Linked DNA regions of Arabidopsis thaliana. The protein of the gene in region 1 purifies or fractionates together with the protein of each later gene. This does not show direct contact. Each region holds a gene or a part of one and is shown on either strand. Other genes may lie near its edges.

Evidence for each region. Proteins that work in one complex are often made in the same cells at the same time.
Region 2: the proteins of AT5G15610 (region 1) and AT5G24710 fractionate together in Arabidopsis thaliana (co-fractionation; one large-scale study listed by BioGRID). This does not show direct contact.
Region 3: the proteins of AT5G15610 (region 1) and AT5G25757 fractionate together in Arabidopsis thaliana (co-fractionation; one large-scale study listed by BioGRID). This does not show direct contact.

Annotation. Positions count from the first base shown.
Region 1 is NC_003076.8:5,077,543-5,082,768, forward strand, and holds AT5G15610 (Proteasome component (PCI) domain protein), read left to right. Parts: upstream 1-1,915; 5' UTR 1,916-2,036; coding exon 2,037-2,129; intron 2,130-2,429; coding exon 2,430-2,559; intron 2,560-2,655; coding exon 2,656-2,794; intron 2,795-2,905; coding exon 2,906-3,118; intron 3,119-3,201; coding exon 3,202-3,340; intron 3,341-3,497; coding exon 3,498-3,648; intron 3,649-3,747; coding exon 3,748-3,857; intron 3,858-3,947; coding exon 3,948-4,202; intron 4,203-4,288; coding exon 4,289-4,387; 3' UTR 4,388-4,692; downstream 4,693-5,226. Other genes in the region: SP1L4 (SPIRAL1-like4), read left to right, coding at 863-1,153, 1,229-1,321; AT5G15620 (F-box/RNI-like superfamily protein), read left to right, coding at 4,923-5,226.
Region 2 is NC_003076.8:8,465,174-8,469,928, reverse strand, and holds the start of AT5G24710 (Transducin/WD40 repeat-like superfamily protein), read left to right. Parts: upstream 1-1,755; 5' UTR 1,756-2,008; coding exon 2,009-2,140; intron 2,141-2,225; coding exon 2,226-2,310; intron 2,311-2,391; coding exon 2,392-2,431; intron 2,432-2,521; coding exon 2,522-2,770; intron 2,771-3,085; coding exon 3,086-3,185; intron 3,186-3,297; coding exon 3,298-3,372; intron 3,373-3,950; coding exon 3,951-4,049; intron 4,050-4,446; coding exon 4,447-4,563; intron 4,564-4,644; coding exon 4,645-4,755.
Region 3 is NC_003076.8:8,964,645-8,969,368, forward strand, and holds AT5G25757 (RNA polymerase I-associated factor PAF67), read right to left. Parts: upstream 2,997-4,724; 5' UTR 2,817-2,996; coding exon 2,463-2,816; intron 2,332-2,462; coding exon 1,352-2,331; intron 1,261-1,351; coding exon 1,167-1,260; intron 1,075-1,166; coding exon 1,003-1,074; intron 916-1,002; coding exon 871-915; 3' UTR 501-870; downstream 1-500. Other genes in the region: PEX4 (peroxin4), read left to right, coding at 3,339-3,344, 3,428-3,676, 3,759-3,888, 4,441-4,529; AT5G25770 (alpha/beta-Hydrolases superfamily protein), read right to left, coding at 4,664-4,724.

The sequences.
Region 1 (5,226 bases):
GAATGAATTCATAAAAGCTGACAAAAAAAGAAAGTAACACCAAAAAAAATTGCACTAATTTGATATAAAAAAAACTACAGAAAAGCATAAACTTCATGTTGAGAAATATAGCCCAACACAAATTGGATGGACCTCAAAAGATATTGGGCTTACGTTTGTAGTTTCCTTTTCTCAAGAGGCCTAAGCCCATTCCAACACTTTCATCATTTTTCTTCTTCTTTAAAATACTTAGCAATATGGTATAGTTCGAAATTTTAAAAATGGAATATAAATCTTGTATCATGGCCTCCCTCTTTTCCCTGTCAATGATTTAGATGATAATATTGATAATCCACAATTTCGTGGGTTGTCACTATTTCCTCTGTGATTGGAATCTTTTAATCTATAAAAAATGACAATTGTTAAACATAAATGGTTACAAACAGCTTTGTTGTACCAACATAAAAGAATGTTTTAAACGGCTCATGATTAATAATCATTTTGGTCCATCAAACCGGTTTTTACCCAAAAAAAAACCGGGTAAAATTTAAGCGATTTACCAAACAACTAACCCCACACGTGCCTACCATAAACTTCATGCCTATTTCTCACCACACACTATCTTACACGTGTAGATTGTATATATACACATTCATGTGTGTATCTCCTTGTTCCTCTGTTTCTTTACCTTTACTTGCGGCCAATCGTAGAAGAAGAAACAAATCAGGAAAAAAAAGGTACAAAAAAAAAAACTCTCTCCTATGTGTCTTTAATGGTTTACAAGTAATCAAATTAATTATAGATATATTGATCTGGATTATGTTTACAATGTTACACATTGTTAGAATTTCAAGAATCGGCGGCGGAATATTCTCGCCGGAAAATGGGGAAAGCTAGAGGAGTTAACAGCGGCGGCGGAGAGAGCTCTCTCGGTTATCTTTTTGGTTCCGGCGAGTCTGTTCCCAAACCAAACAAGCCCAACGCTAAAACCGGTTTTACCACCACCACGACCACCACAACAACAACGGATGGAGCTGGAGGTAGACCCAAGACCACGACCACAACTACAACAACCGGAGATAAAAACAAGACAGAGGAGAACTCGGCTGGTGTGAGAGGAAGTCCTAATAATTACTACAGATCAGATGGACAAAACTGTGGCAACTTCCTCACGGTAAGAGTTTTAAATTCAAGTTTGATTGAGGAACTTGAATTTAAAACTGATTTGGTTTTGTGGTTTGAGAAACAGGAACGACCATCTACGAAGGTTCATGCTGCACCAGGTGGAGGATCTTCTTTGGGTTACTTGTTTGGATCTGGTCCTTGTGGATCTGACAAATGATTTCTATTTCCACGACAAACATCTCATGCATTTGACCCTTTGAAAAAATGTAAAAATTGTTCTAAACTTTATTCTTTATCCTTACAAACTGGTTTTGAGGATTGTTTTGAATTTGGCCATTTCTTGTGTTCTTGAAAAAGCTACGAAGCTTTCTCAATCTTGAGATCTCCAGAATGTGTTTCCAGCAAAAGAAAATCATTTTACAAACTTTGCTATTGGTTATACAACTATTCAAGTTCCATGTTCCTTGCTCGGTCACCATTCTCATAACAGCTTCCTGAAATTCAACCTTTTTTGCATAAACAACAGTGCAATGTCTCGGACTAGTTCATTACTTGTCTTAACAACATGGATGTTTCAAGCCAAAATTGATCATCATGTTTGACTTGCAGCTTCTATCTATCAAACAACTGTTAAGTATAAACATTTGAGATCATTTAACCAAAAGAACACGTACAATTAAGCGGATCACGGTGGCTAATCAAGCCGGTCACCAAATTATACGATTGATCCTGACCGTTAGATTGTGTACGTTAATTTTGATGCACAAAACCGTTTCTTTCCCTCGTTATTTTATTATTAGACCGGATCCGGTTCAATTCTGAACCGAGAAAAACCATAAAACGTTGATTAGGGCTTTCAATTTGTTGCTTTGTCTCTCTCGAACTTGTGCTAGGGATTTAGGATTAGCGTTAGAGACTCAGTCGAGCAGAGAATGACGACGATTGTTCCCACCTCCGAAGAAGATCCTTACCTCGCCATTGTTCGTTTCACTTCCCAGCTTGCCTGGGCTGATGCTGGTCCCGAGGTCGGTACCAACCTCTGTTCTCAATCATCGACTAGTGAATACGATTGTCTATTTCGAAAGTTGCTACATTTCGTTATTGGAATTTATGAGCAATTTCTGGGTATCTTTGTCTTTATGCGACCTTAATTTGGGAATCACTGATTGTTGAGGCGTTGTGTTGATAAAAATGAAGTCTGAATTGAGCAATTTAGTGTTTTAGCTACCATGTGTCTATTGCAATCTCACTTGATCTGATTGTTTTAATAAAAATTGCCTCACTATGGAATTGTTTAGTTGATTATGATTTCTTTTGCTTATTAGGTCGCAGAGCCTGAAGTTTCCAGGCTATGTAAGGAAGCAGAGGAGTCTATAATAAATGGGAAGTGGCTGGATTTGGCAACGTTGATGGTAACTTCAGCTGACTTGGTATCAGCCAAAATCTCTGAGAAAGGTCTGTTTTTTTGTGTGTGCAGGTCTATATGTTTGTTAGTCCTTTTTAACCATAAATAATATCTCTTTAATTTTGATGGTGTTTGCCTCTTATTAGATCTTGAGTGTACCTACACCATCATTTGCAACCTTGTCAAGAATGCGAACAGTCCTGAGGAAGTCCTTGAAATGGTGAAAGCTATAGCTGCTAAGGTTATTCAACAACCAAACGACAAAGCTTCATTGCGTTTGAAGATGTATGATCGTGTGACTCTTTGAGCTAATCTCTCTTAGGAGTCTTTGAGCATCTATTTTAATGTTTCATTTTTGTGTTATGTGTTTCTCATCTGTTGCTTGTCTCTGTGCAGCCTCTTCAATCTATATAATCTGGTAGACCACCCAAATGCTCGTTTTCAAGTATACATGAAAGCTCTGGAACTGGCTGTAAACGGGAAGGTTACCGAGTATATTGTACCTTCCTTTAAGAAGATTGACAGCTTCTTGAAAGAGTGGAACATTGACATCAAAGATCAGCGGGAACTATTTCTTGCTATTGCTAAAGTGCTTAGAGAAAATAAAAGGTACTGCAACAATGTTTGTTTCTTCTTTTTCCTTTTTTTAAGGTATACCAATGTCCTCATGGGATTTTTAATCAATATTTCAGTTTTGCGAAAGAATCCCTCCAGTTTGTGACAAATTATTTGGCAACTTTCTCCAATGAAGATACCCAAGTCCTGAGTGAAGCCAAGGAGGAAGCTGTACGAGCAGTTATTGAATTTGTCAAGGCTCCCAGTATATTTCAGGTATCCTAATTCATAAATCATTCATTCAAATGCGTAAGATTTTTGCACGTTGACTTGTTACTGTCATTGTAGCTTGTAAGTGTTAACTACTGCGCCTTTTGTTCAGTGAGGTCTTTTACTGGAATTACATCCCTGACTTTTGTATTTTGAATTGCAGTGTGATTTATTAGACCATCCAGCTGTCGCACAGTTGGAGAAGGATCCTAACAATGCACCAGTTTACCAGCTACTGAAGATTTTTCTTACTCAGAGGCTAGATGCATACATGGAATTCCAAAATGCGAATTCAGGATTTCTGCAAACATACGGTACTGTTCTTATCCCTTTACCGCTTGACATGATCCTCAGATGAATCGAATCCTTCATTCTTTAGTGAACCCATAATAAGCCATAGACGGTATCTGCAGGACTTGTCGAGGAAGACTGTGTAGCAAAGATGAGGTTGTTGTCCCTAGTTGATTTGGCCTCAGATGATTCTGGCAAAATACCGTATGCCTCGATCAAGAACACCCTACAGGTTAGCTTCTTTTCTACGAACAATACATTAAATGTTGATAACCTTTTTTGCGTTGCTTTCTCAGACTCATCGAATTTGTCGGGGGTGCAGGTAAATGACGAGGAGGTTGAATTGTGGGTGGTTAAGGCAATAACTGCAAAATTGGTTGCTTGTAAGATGGATCAGATGAACCAAGTTGTAATTGTCAGGCAAGTTTCTAATCTACTTCTATTTCGATTTATATGTGTAAATCCAAAGTCACACATTCTCGTACTTCATATCTGTTCATGTATCAGCCGCTGTGCCGAGCGTGAATTTGGACAAAAGCAATGGCAGTCTCTTCGAACAAAGCTAGCAGCTTGGCGGGTAAAATATAAAACCAAAATTTGAAAATCCTGCGATATTGAAAATTCGTTGTAATAACAAGATGTTTCTTGTTCGGGTATGTGCAGGACAATGTTAGGAATGTAATCAGCACGATCGAATCGAATAAGGCAACAGAGGAAGGTACTCAGACATCATCAGCAGCTCAGGGATTGACTGTCCGTTGAAATATATCTCTGAAGAAGAAGCTTCTCAATCTAAAGAGTGATCTGATATTGTCATCTCAAAAGCTTTATTGAATTCTTTGCAGAGTTCTTTTGACCGTTGGATCTTTTTGATTCCGGCCTTCTTCTTTGTGTTGGCCTCTTTTTGTCCCTTAAATTTATGCGGAGACTTGCGATACATTGTTTAGATAAATTTATCACCAATGCATGAATATTGGGAGTGGCTAATAACAGCTGGCGCAAAATCATTGGATTAAAAAATAAGAGCTTTGTTTTAGTAGTCGAGTATAAAATAGTGGATTCAAATTACCCCAGTCGTGTTCGTTTCTTTTCTTTGCTTTCAATAAATGTCACAACTCCGCTCTAGTTATTCGTCAATTCCTCTTTGATTCGCGTCAGAAAGCTCTCGAATTGGCGTCGTCGATCGTATCACAATTTCAATATTGAATCTCGTGTTGGCTTCAGATTTCTTGTTTCGATTAGAAAATTGAAGTTTTTTTGGTATTGATCGATCGGTTCTCTAGGGTTTGGGATAAGTATGGATAGATTCAGCAATTTACCAGACGATGTTATTTACCACATCGTTTCTTTTCTTTCGGCAAAGGAGGCTACGTGCTTAAAGTTTGTCTCCAAGAACTTTCAGAATTTGGTTACTATCAAACGAAACGTTGTTTTCCATCATTGGGAAAGTTTCAAGAATTTTGTTGATGGATTATTAGCTGAACCTGCCAGTTACCGTATAAAGAGATTCTCTCTGAAATTGGTGTCTATGGATTTTGCTCAGTATAATATTGTCAACGATTGTCTTTGCAATGTGTTGAAGCGAGGTGTCTTGGATCTTG
Region 2 (4,755 bases), 3.4 Mb from region 1:
AAGTGTATTGTACATGGATTGTCAGGCATCATCATGATGCTCATATATGTGGCATCATCATGGTGATGCTGTTTTTCATGCGGGAGAAATGTTTTTACCAACATCAAATCGTATTGCTGCGGAGTTGAGAGGGATATTATGGGTACTACACAGTCTATGTGATCTACACTTCTATAATATTGAGATTTGGTCCGACTATGGTGCTCCTATGGAAGCCATTAGTGACCCATTAGATTGGCCACGTATTTATCTTATCTTGATAGGATTCATTGGTTTCTCCCGAATTTTGATAAGATCGTATTTAAGGTTTCATCGCACGAGATATAGCCACAAGCGTAATGAGAGAAGGTCGATGCAGATCATATTTAGCTCGTGGAAGTCCGATGTGGTTACACTCGCATTGAAGAAGACAAGCGGCGTTGATTTTATTGTTCTTTATTAAGTTAAGATCTTCTATAAGTGTATGAGGAAAACAAGTTTAGACGGGAAAAACAAAAAATCGAAGTGTATTGAGTAAACTTCAATGAAACCTGTAAAGAAAAAATTAAATTAAATTGAAGATTAAATAAGACTTTAATTTTGATTGCAAATCTTTTTATCGAATTCTAGATTTAGTTGTAAACATAGTAAACCCTTATTACACCAAATACTATAGTCATTTTGTTTGAGATAATTCATTTGGAATTCTCTTTAAAAGTTTAGTGATCGGAGGCTTCTCGATTTTCTCTCTCTTCTCTCACTTGAATTTTTCAGAGAAAGAAAAAGCGATTCATGGCAAGACTCCGTCCAACATCGTTCGGCTTCTTTAACGACGATGGTTGGTTCGTTTCCAGCATCAATTGGCTTCTTTAGTGGTGGTGGCTGGCTTTTGTATCCGGACGTGGTCCGGCTTTGCCGTCTTATCTCGCCGTCTGGTTTCTACTTTTCTCTTTAGTGGAATCCGGCTTTAGTTTCCAGTTCTTTGATACCGGTTTTACCTTTCTGCTTTTCAATAATCATTGTGATCTTAGTACCAATTTTTTTTTGGGTTTTCCTTATCATCCTCTTTTCTCAAGCTTTTTTGCATCCTTATTTAGATGAAAGTCAATCTTTGTTTCATTTCTAATCTTTACCTTTTGGGTTTTAATCAACTATTAGAGTTTGTTTCAACCTAAATCGATTCTCTCAATCCTTTGATTTAGAATCTCAATTCGGCATATCTGGTAAGATTTAATCATCAAGAGAAATCATGGTTTTTTATTTCTCTTTTGTCATAGATCGTTGCTGTTCTGGAGAAATTTAGATCAAATATAAACTCTGGATATTGTGGAGCAGAGAGTCAGATTTACAAGCGTGATGAGATTGTCGTAGAGGAAATGGTGGGTTATCGGATTTGATGGTGGTGCTGGGAGATAACGATGAAACAATCATCGGCGTAAGAGAAAAGTCACATCCACGTGTCGTATGTTGCTTTGACTTGTTTTATTAGCGCTGTACTCTTTACTACAAGGTGTTTAGTTGTACCCTTTATGGATTTGTGAAATACTTTGATGACTGGGCTTTAGTGATGTTTGTAAACCCATAATTTGAATAAAAAAGAAACTTATGAACAAGAAAAAAAAAAGTTCAGTGATCCAACGGATCCACAATTAATTTCCGTAAATGGAATATATTTTGCGACAAAGGAAAGGGCTAAAACAATTGTTATTGGGCCTTTTTTTTTGGGTTAATCAGACTAGCCTTCGCAAATTCGCGCTTTACGCGTTTCGCGTCTGAAGACACTACCGGAGTTTTTGTTCGGCGATTGTAGTTAGTGGTGGTGGATCCGGGCATTTCATTTGATAACCGCGGTGGATCTAATTGATCTGGATCTGACCATAGCCCTGCTTGCTTTTTCTGGAAATTTTTAGTGTGTAGCTCTGGAGAGTTTCTCGTGAGTCGAATCGTCTATGCGGATGCAGTTGTGCTCAGATTTTTGAGTTGTCTAATTGATCTTGAAGAACTGTGAGAGAGAGAGAGAGAGATCGAAATGTTGCGGGCGAGAGCATTTCGGCAGACCAATGGTAAGATTGTGAAGATACAGGTACATCCTACGCATCCATGGCTTGTTACGGCTGATGATTCAGATCACGTCTCCGTCTGGAATTGGGAGCATCGTCAGGTCTGTATCGAGATTCTGATTTGATTTTGGTTCCGGTTCTGATTTCGAATCGTGGATCTGTCAACGTTTATGTCTATTGTGTTAGGTAATTTATGAATTGAAAGCCGGCGGAGTTGACGAGCGCCGTTTAGTTGGTGCCAAGTTAGAGAAGCTCGCCGAAGGAGAATCCGGTGAGCCATTGTTCTATTCTGGTGAAATGAGTATGAGTTTCTGATGCTTTATGTTCTTACTGACATTCGTATTTTCCTCAGACTATAAAGCTAAGCCTACTGAAGCCATTCGAGGAGGAAGGTAGTAGATAGATCTTTCTCGCTGCTAATTCAGTTGCTCCTTTCGATAATGAGAAAAATGACTTATCTGCTCAATGTTTGCACCTACTAGCGTTAAGCAGGTGAAGTTTTATGACGATGATGTGCGTTATTGGCAACTGTGGCGCAACCGCTCCGCAGCTGCTGAATCTCCATCAGCTGTCAATCATCTGACATCTGCTTTCACTTCCCCTGCTCCATCGACTAAAGGCCGTCATTTTCTGGTCATTTGTTGTGAGAATAAAGCTATTTTCTTGGATTTGGTGACAATGCGTGGTCGTGATGTGCCAAAGCAAGAGCTTGATAACAAGTCACTTCTCTGGTAAGTTCATTGCTTTTTCTCTAATTTTAGGATATGGGTTTGCTTGACACCTGGACCCCGGGGAAGATGCTCCATTACTTTAGGCTTCCTATCTTTAAATCACTTGAATCCTGGAAAGACCTCCGTTAGTTACTACGCTGGAAATATTTGAGTCAAATGTAGACTAGGCATAAGTGTAATGGATATGTGTGTTCTAAGTGTAATGGATACCAGGCTTCCTTGATGTTTAATGTTCAGTCAATGGCCAAACTCCCTTTCTACATTTTTAATTTCTACTCCTCCTTAATGTTGCTAGAATTCTTCCTTTCTTTGCAGCATGGAGTTTCTTTCGAGATCATCTGGTGGTGATGGCCCTTTAGTTGCATTTGGTTCAACTGATGGTGTCATTCGGGTTTTATCAATGATAACATGGAAGGTTTGTTTGTTTCAAAATTATATTTTTTTTTTTTGGTTTCTCTGCTGGGTTTAGAGTGAGGGATTTTGATACTGATCTGTGTTAATTTCCTTGAATGTTTACTTCCTTGCAGCTTGCACGTCGATATACAGGTGGCCATAAAGGATCCATTTATTGCTTGATGAATTTCATGGCATCATCTGGCGAAGTAACTACATATTCCCTATATATGCCCTCTTTATTGCTCTGAATTTATTTCGAGTTATTTACTTAATATGTTAATAGTTAATACCATCTGATAGATGAAAGTGTCATGTAACTTAGAAAAACATACTCAAGATCACCTACTAAGATCGACTGTATATATTATATGAAAACGAGGTCTTGAGCATATCGTCTTGGAAGTTTCCTACATATATCTCTTTCTTCTTAGCGACGTAAAAATCTCACATTCTACTAAGTGGGAGTCCAGACCGCAGCAGGCCTTACTATACGGATACCTGTTTTACAATCCAAATATCTAGCCTTAGTTTCTTAGATCATCTGTACTCGGGTTAAATTTCATGCATAGCCTAGGCATTAGGAGCGGCGGGAATTTTAAACATTGGCATCTCTTTTCCCAATTGCTTGTTTAGGTTATGTTAATAGCGAATTTCTGATAGTACTGGGCTTTCTTCCCTTTTATATAACTTGACGTTTTTTAATGAATGCTTATCAAGTATTTTCTCTCTGTTATTTATGTGCAATACATGATACTAGCCATCCTCTATCTAAATGCAATTGCAGGCACTCCTTGTTTCAGGTGGCAGTGATGGCTTACTTGTACTGTGGAGTGCCGATCATGGCGCTGACTCAAGGGAACTTGTACCCAAGCTTAGCTTAAAGGTACTCAATTATGCCCACTCTTTCATTCAAAGTTCAAGAGAGGATATTACCATGACCGTTCAATTCTTAGGCCTGGAAAGATTTGCCAGATTTGGTTACAGCTGAGGCTAAGGCACCATTGTTCTTAGTTCCAGTGAACCTTCTGAATTGATTTCTGTGTCTGTTTCTGAATGTTGGATACTTGCATTTAGATATTCTTTCATTCTTTTTATAAAAGGCTGAGTAATGATTAGGGGACTATGACATGCTCGTGCTTTTTTTTTTTTTTTGGTGTAATAGACATGGTCATGTTTGCTTAATTGAGTGGATAATTTCCACTTCTCTGTTATACTTTTTTTTTTTTTTTTTCCTAATCCCTTCTTGGCTTCTTCTAATGTTTTTGTTCTGATTGTATTAGGCACATGATGGTGGGGTGGTGGCTGTTGAGCTGTCAAGGGTAAGTGGGAGTGCTCCACAATTGATTACAATTGGGGCTGACAAGACATTGGCCATATGGGATACAATGACATTTAAGGTAATGGTGTATCTCATGTATGGATTTTTCATATTTTCCCGATCTCATTTATTAACATGCATATCTACTTTTATTCTACAGGAGCTACGTAGAATTAAACCTGTCCCGAAACTAGCTTGCCACAGTGTTGCATCTTGGTGTCACCCTCGAGCGCCAAACCTTGATATTTTGACTTGCGTTAAAGATTCACAC
Region 3 (4,724 bases), 3.9 Mb from region 1:
TTACGAAGTTACGATAAAAAGACAAACGAAAAATAACCATCGATATTAACAGAAAGTTACGATGAGAAAACACAAATAAAAAGTAACGATAAAAAGACAATAAAGAAAAAAATAACCGTCTATATAAATAGAAAGTTATGATAAAAAGACACAAACGAAAAAAGTAGTTATCCCCACCAAAAAATAACTGTTAATATTAAAATGACTGATACAAACGAAAAGTTGCGATAAAAATGTACTAAAAAAAAAAATAACCGGCAATGTTAGCGGAAAGTTACGATGAAAAGACATGAACACATAAATAATCGTCAACATTTTTAACTAAATGTTGTGATAATAAAATACAACCGTTCAGAACAGCAAAACACAATTTTTTGGATTCATCATAAAACAAATAATTTGTGGTAAAAGACTTTACGTCATTTGTTCTCTTTTGGTTTTTTGTTCACCTGTTTGTTTGTTATAGAAGAAAGTGACTTTAATGAATTAGCGATGAAACAATTATAAATGATTCGATGACACTACAATTTCACTATTGTTGATGAGATTGAGACAATCATATAATTTTCTAACAGAAGAACAAGAAAGCTTGCACATCTTAAACGGAAAAAGTTGTACTACTGAAGACTAAACTCGTCGTTGGCATATAGAAACAGGACAAATAGTTCGAAAGGAACTCGATCAAAAACTGAACTGCCATACTCAATATGAAAAAAAAAAATGGCAATAATTCAAAACAAAAATGATTTATGGTTGAAATTTGAAGACAGTTACTCAAAAAGTGTTTGGCTCCAGGTAAACTTATGGTTTATAAGAGAAAGCATCATATCAGATTGGGCATTGATAATTAGGTGTAACACAGAAAAGTCGTCATTCCAGCTTGACACGATCCATGTCGTTGATCACACCTTCAAGCTGCGCAATGGAGGAAAAAAAAGAAGAGCCAAAGATCAAAACAAGAGTTCATGTGCACTAGTCTTAGTTTCAGTTTATACAACATACCTTGGCAATCTGCCGCAAGAAGAAATCACCATAACGTTTTGCGGGTTTTGATTCGACAACGTAGATCATGTCCTGCAGTGTCACCAGGTTTAGAGTTGTTACAAACGTTGTAAAAGCACCAGAGTATAGATATCAGAAAGACAGAGAGAGAAGAAAGAACATACGTTGTTGATGAAGAAATCAATGTCTGCATTGGAGATGATCCTACCATCGGAATCAACTGAATGGGTCTTGTGCTTGTATGTTAACAATATGGTCCTGCAAATTAAAACCCCGTACATGTCAAAGAAAAAGAGAGAAGTAGATTTGGTAATAATAGTTATAAGAATGCCCATAGTTAGTCCCTGACCTTAGAGTGGGCTCATCAACTTCCATGTAGTTTGCGAGCTTAGCAAGAGAAATGGAGGAGTAGACTTTCAGGAAAGTCCGCACTCCCGACAAGAGCTGCTGCTGCTTTACCTCGTAAAGGAACATCTTCAGCTGAAGCCTGTATGCATCCTGATTGTAATTGACAAGAGGTTCCTCGAAAGTTGGTGGTGCGGAAGGGGTGATAAACTTGGGGCATGCGTAAGAGAAGAGCTCATCATAAATACCAAAGGCCTCGTCGTCAGACCTCAGCATCCTCATCATCTTTTCACCATACTTGTCTCGCAGCTGAGAGTTGACAGACTCGTCAACGAGTTTAGTTTGAGGGCAGAGGGAGAGGGAGAGAGCAAGCAAAGCGTACATCTGCTCATTCTTCTTGAGTAATTGCTCGTACTGAGGTGACTTTTGATGGTACTGCTTAGTCTTGAAAATGTAGAGGAGAATCTTGTTGAACTCACGAACAGCATCGACATACCTCCGCAACATAAGGGTGGCAAATCCATAGTGGTAGATAGTAGCGATATGGCAACCAATGACACTGGTGTAAACACCTGGCTGAGTGATGTCAATGGGCTGCAACCATTTGAGAGCAGTGTGGTAGTCACCGAGGAGGCAGTGAACACGCAAGAGACCGACCATGCTGAAGTAACCGAGGACCTTCAAGACGTTGCTGCCACCGCTGAAATCGTAGCCATCAGTCTCAGTGAACTCAAGGCCATCCTTGTCATGCTCAAGGATCTGGATGATACAAGACTTCTCCACAAGTGCTTGCAAGAAGTTGAGCACGCCATAGACATTCCAGGCCTTATCGTGCTGTCTGAGCAATGCAATCTCCTCCTCTGTTTTGTTCTTGAGCTTTGCTCTGAATTGACAGAAACTTTGGAACTGGTAGACAAACTCATCCACCATATCCCACAACCACTGGTTCGGCAACTGCATATTCACTACGCCGTGCAACACAACCTAGAAAGAACAAACGGAAGAAGGTCTACTTACTTGTATTTATTCCCAGCCAATACATACACAAAAGAAATCAAAATCAACAACATCTCTATCTAACAAGGAAGAAGAAGTAGAAGAATTCCACAACAGACCTGAAAGAGGCTGCAATAGTTGTCATAAGAATCAATCCTCTGCTTCAACGTCGGAGACAACCTCGCATACAAATGTCGAAACCACATCTCACGGTACAGAAGACAGAACACATGGTCGTTGTCTACGTAAGGAGCAATCGCTTCCACACTTGGCCACGGCGTGTCCTTGAACAGACGCTCCGATATGCTCTGGAACGATGTCTCACACATCTGGTGGATCTCGTACACGTTCTTATCCCTTATGTGTCTGTACATGTGTGACACGAACGACTTCACCGAATCCGGCACCATATTTGGGTCGTACCCACTCTCCCTCTCCCCCGGACCTTCCTCATACTCATTGCTGCTCGCCATTCTCGCCGGATCAATTCTTAGCGGCCGCAACAATGTTAGCTCTTAACTCACTACCACCGCCTAGGGTTTCCTTATTACCACCGGTTCTATCATCCGGTTTCGTTTCCTTATTACCACCGGTTCTATCATCCGGTTATGTTTTTTTATAAAGTCATTTTAATAAAACTTTCTATGGTTCGGAAAAAAAAAACTTCACATAATCATCGCTATTCTCTCTCTCTCTCTCTCTCTCTCTCTCTCTCGCTCTCATATTTGCAGGTAAAGCTTCGTTGATTCGTCCTCTTTATGTTCAATTATAGTTTCGCATCCCTCCTATGTCTTTCTTTCTAGATCTTAAAGCAGAGTCATTGCTTAACCCTAATTATCACTGTTCTTGTATAAAACACTTTTCACCTAATCATTGAGATTGTTACGGGATCTGATAATTGCGTCTGTGAATTACAAGAAATTAGGGTTTATTTCTTCTTGATTTTAGATTGATCTTTTTGCAGTTGACAATTCGTTCTCTTTGGGAAATTAGAGATGCAGGTAAATTGCTTAATTTTTTTTTTGTTTTGTTGCAAATTCTCTGTGTATGTTTATGATTTGATTTGATTTGATTGATGTAATAGGCATCAAGAGCGCGACTGTTTAAAGAATACAAAGAGGTACAGCGAGAGAAAGTAGCAGATCCTGATATTCAATTGATCTGTGACGATACCAACATATTCAAATGGACCGCTCTTATCAAAGGACCTTCGGAGACTCCTTACGAAGGCGGTGTTTTTCAGCTTGCTTTTTCTGTTCCTGAACCTTATCCTTTGCAACCTCCTCAAGTTCGATTCTTGACCAAGATATTCCATCCTAATGTTCATTTCAAGGTTTGCATCTCTTTTTATAACAACCTTCTCCTGTGATAAAAGGAAACGCAGGTTTTTTAGTTAGTACTTGGGAATTTTGTAGACAGGAGAAATATGTCTCGACATTTTGAAGAATGCTTGGAGTCCTGCTTGGACGCTTCAGTCTGTGTGTAGAGCTATCATAGCATTGATGGCTCATCCTGAGCCGGACAGTCCTCTTAACTGCGACTCAGGTACAAAATGCTAGTTTAGTGTTTTCAAAAATGTAACCATGGGCGTTCGGGTATTCGGTTTGGTTCCCGTTCGGTTCTAGTTCGGTTCCGATTCTTTCTGTTCTCGATTTTAGGATCCATATAGGAACCGAAACAGTTTCAGTTCGGTTCAGGTTCGGGTTCGGTTCTGAAGTTTAGGATCCATTAGAATATTTTATTTCGAATATTTCAGATATTTTTTGTCTTTTTTTCCGGATATTTTGGTGTTTTTATATATTTTTCCTTATTTGGGTATTTTTGATTATTCAAACTAAAAATAACTAATATCTTTGGATATATAATCATATTTCGGATACGCAAAATATTTTGGTTCGGTTCGGGTTCAGTTCTAATTACTTTGGTTCTAGAATTTAGGATCTATTTGAGTAGTTTACCATTTCGGGTCGGATTCGGGTTGCTTCAGTTCGGATTCGGTTCTTTCAGTTTGATTATTATGCCCATGCCTAGTTTTTATAGTAAGCAACTGTTTTTTTTTTCTACTGACGCTTTTGTTGTGGTTGCTATGGAAAAAAGGGAATCTTCTAAGATCTGGTGATGTGAGAGGGTTCAATTCAATGGCACAAATGTATACACGCCTCGCCGCTATGCCTAAGAAAGGATGATGATGATGATGATCCTCTTGCTTTTTTTTTGTTTTTTTTTTTGAAATTTGTAATGATATTGATTTGCGAGAGTGAATACATTATTAACGAGAAGAAGATGATTCTTCTTTATTAGTTCACAATATTACAATCTGTCAAGTTGTCATATCTTCTTGTTTAAGGAATTTGTCAAACCAGTCTGATGATTCTTTGATC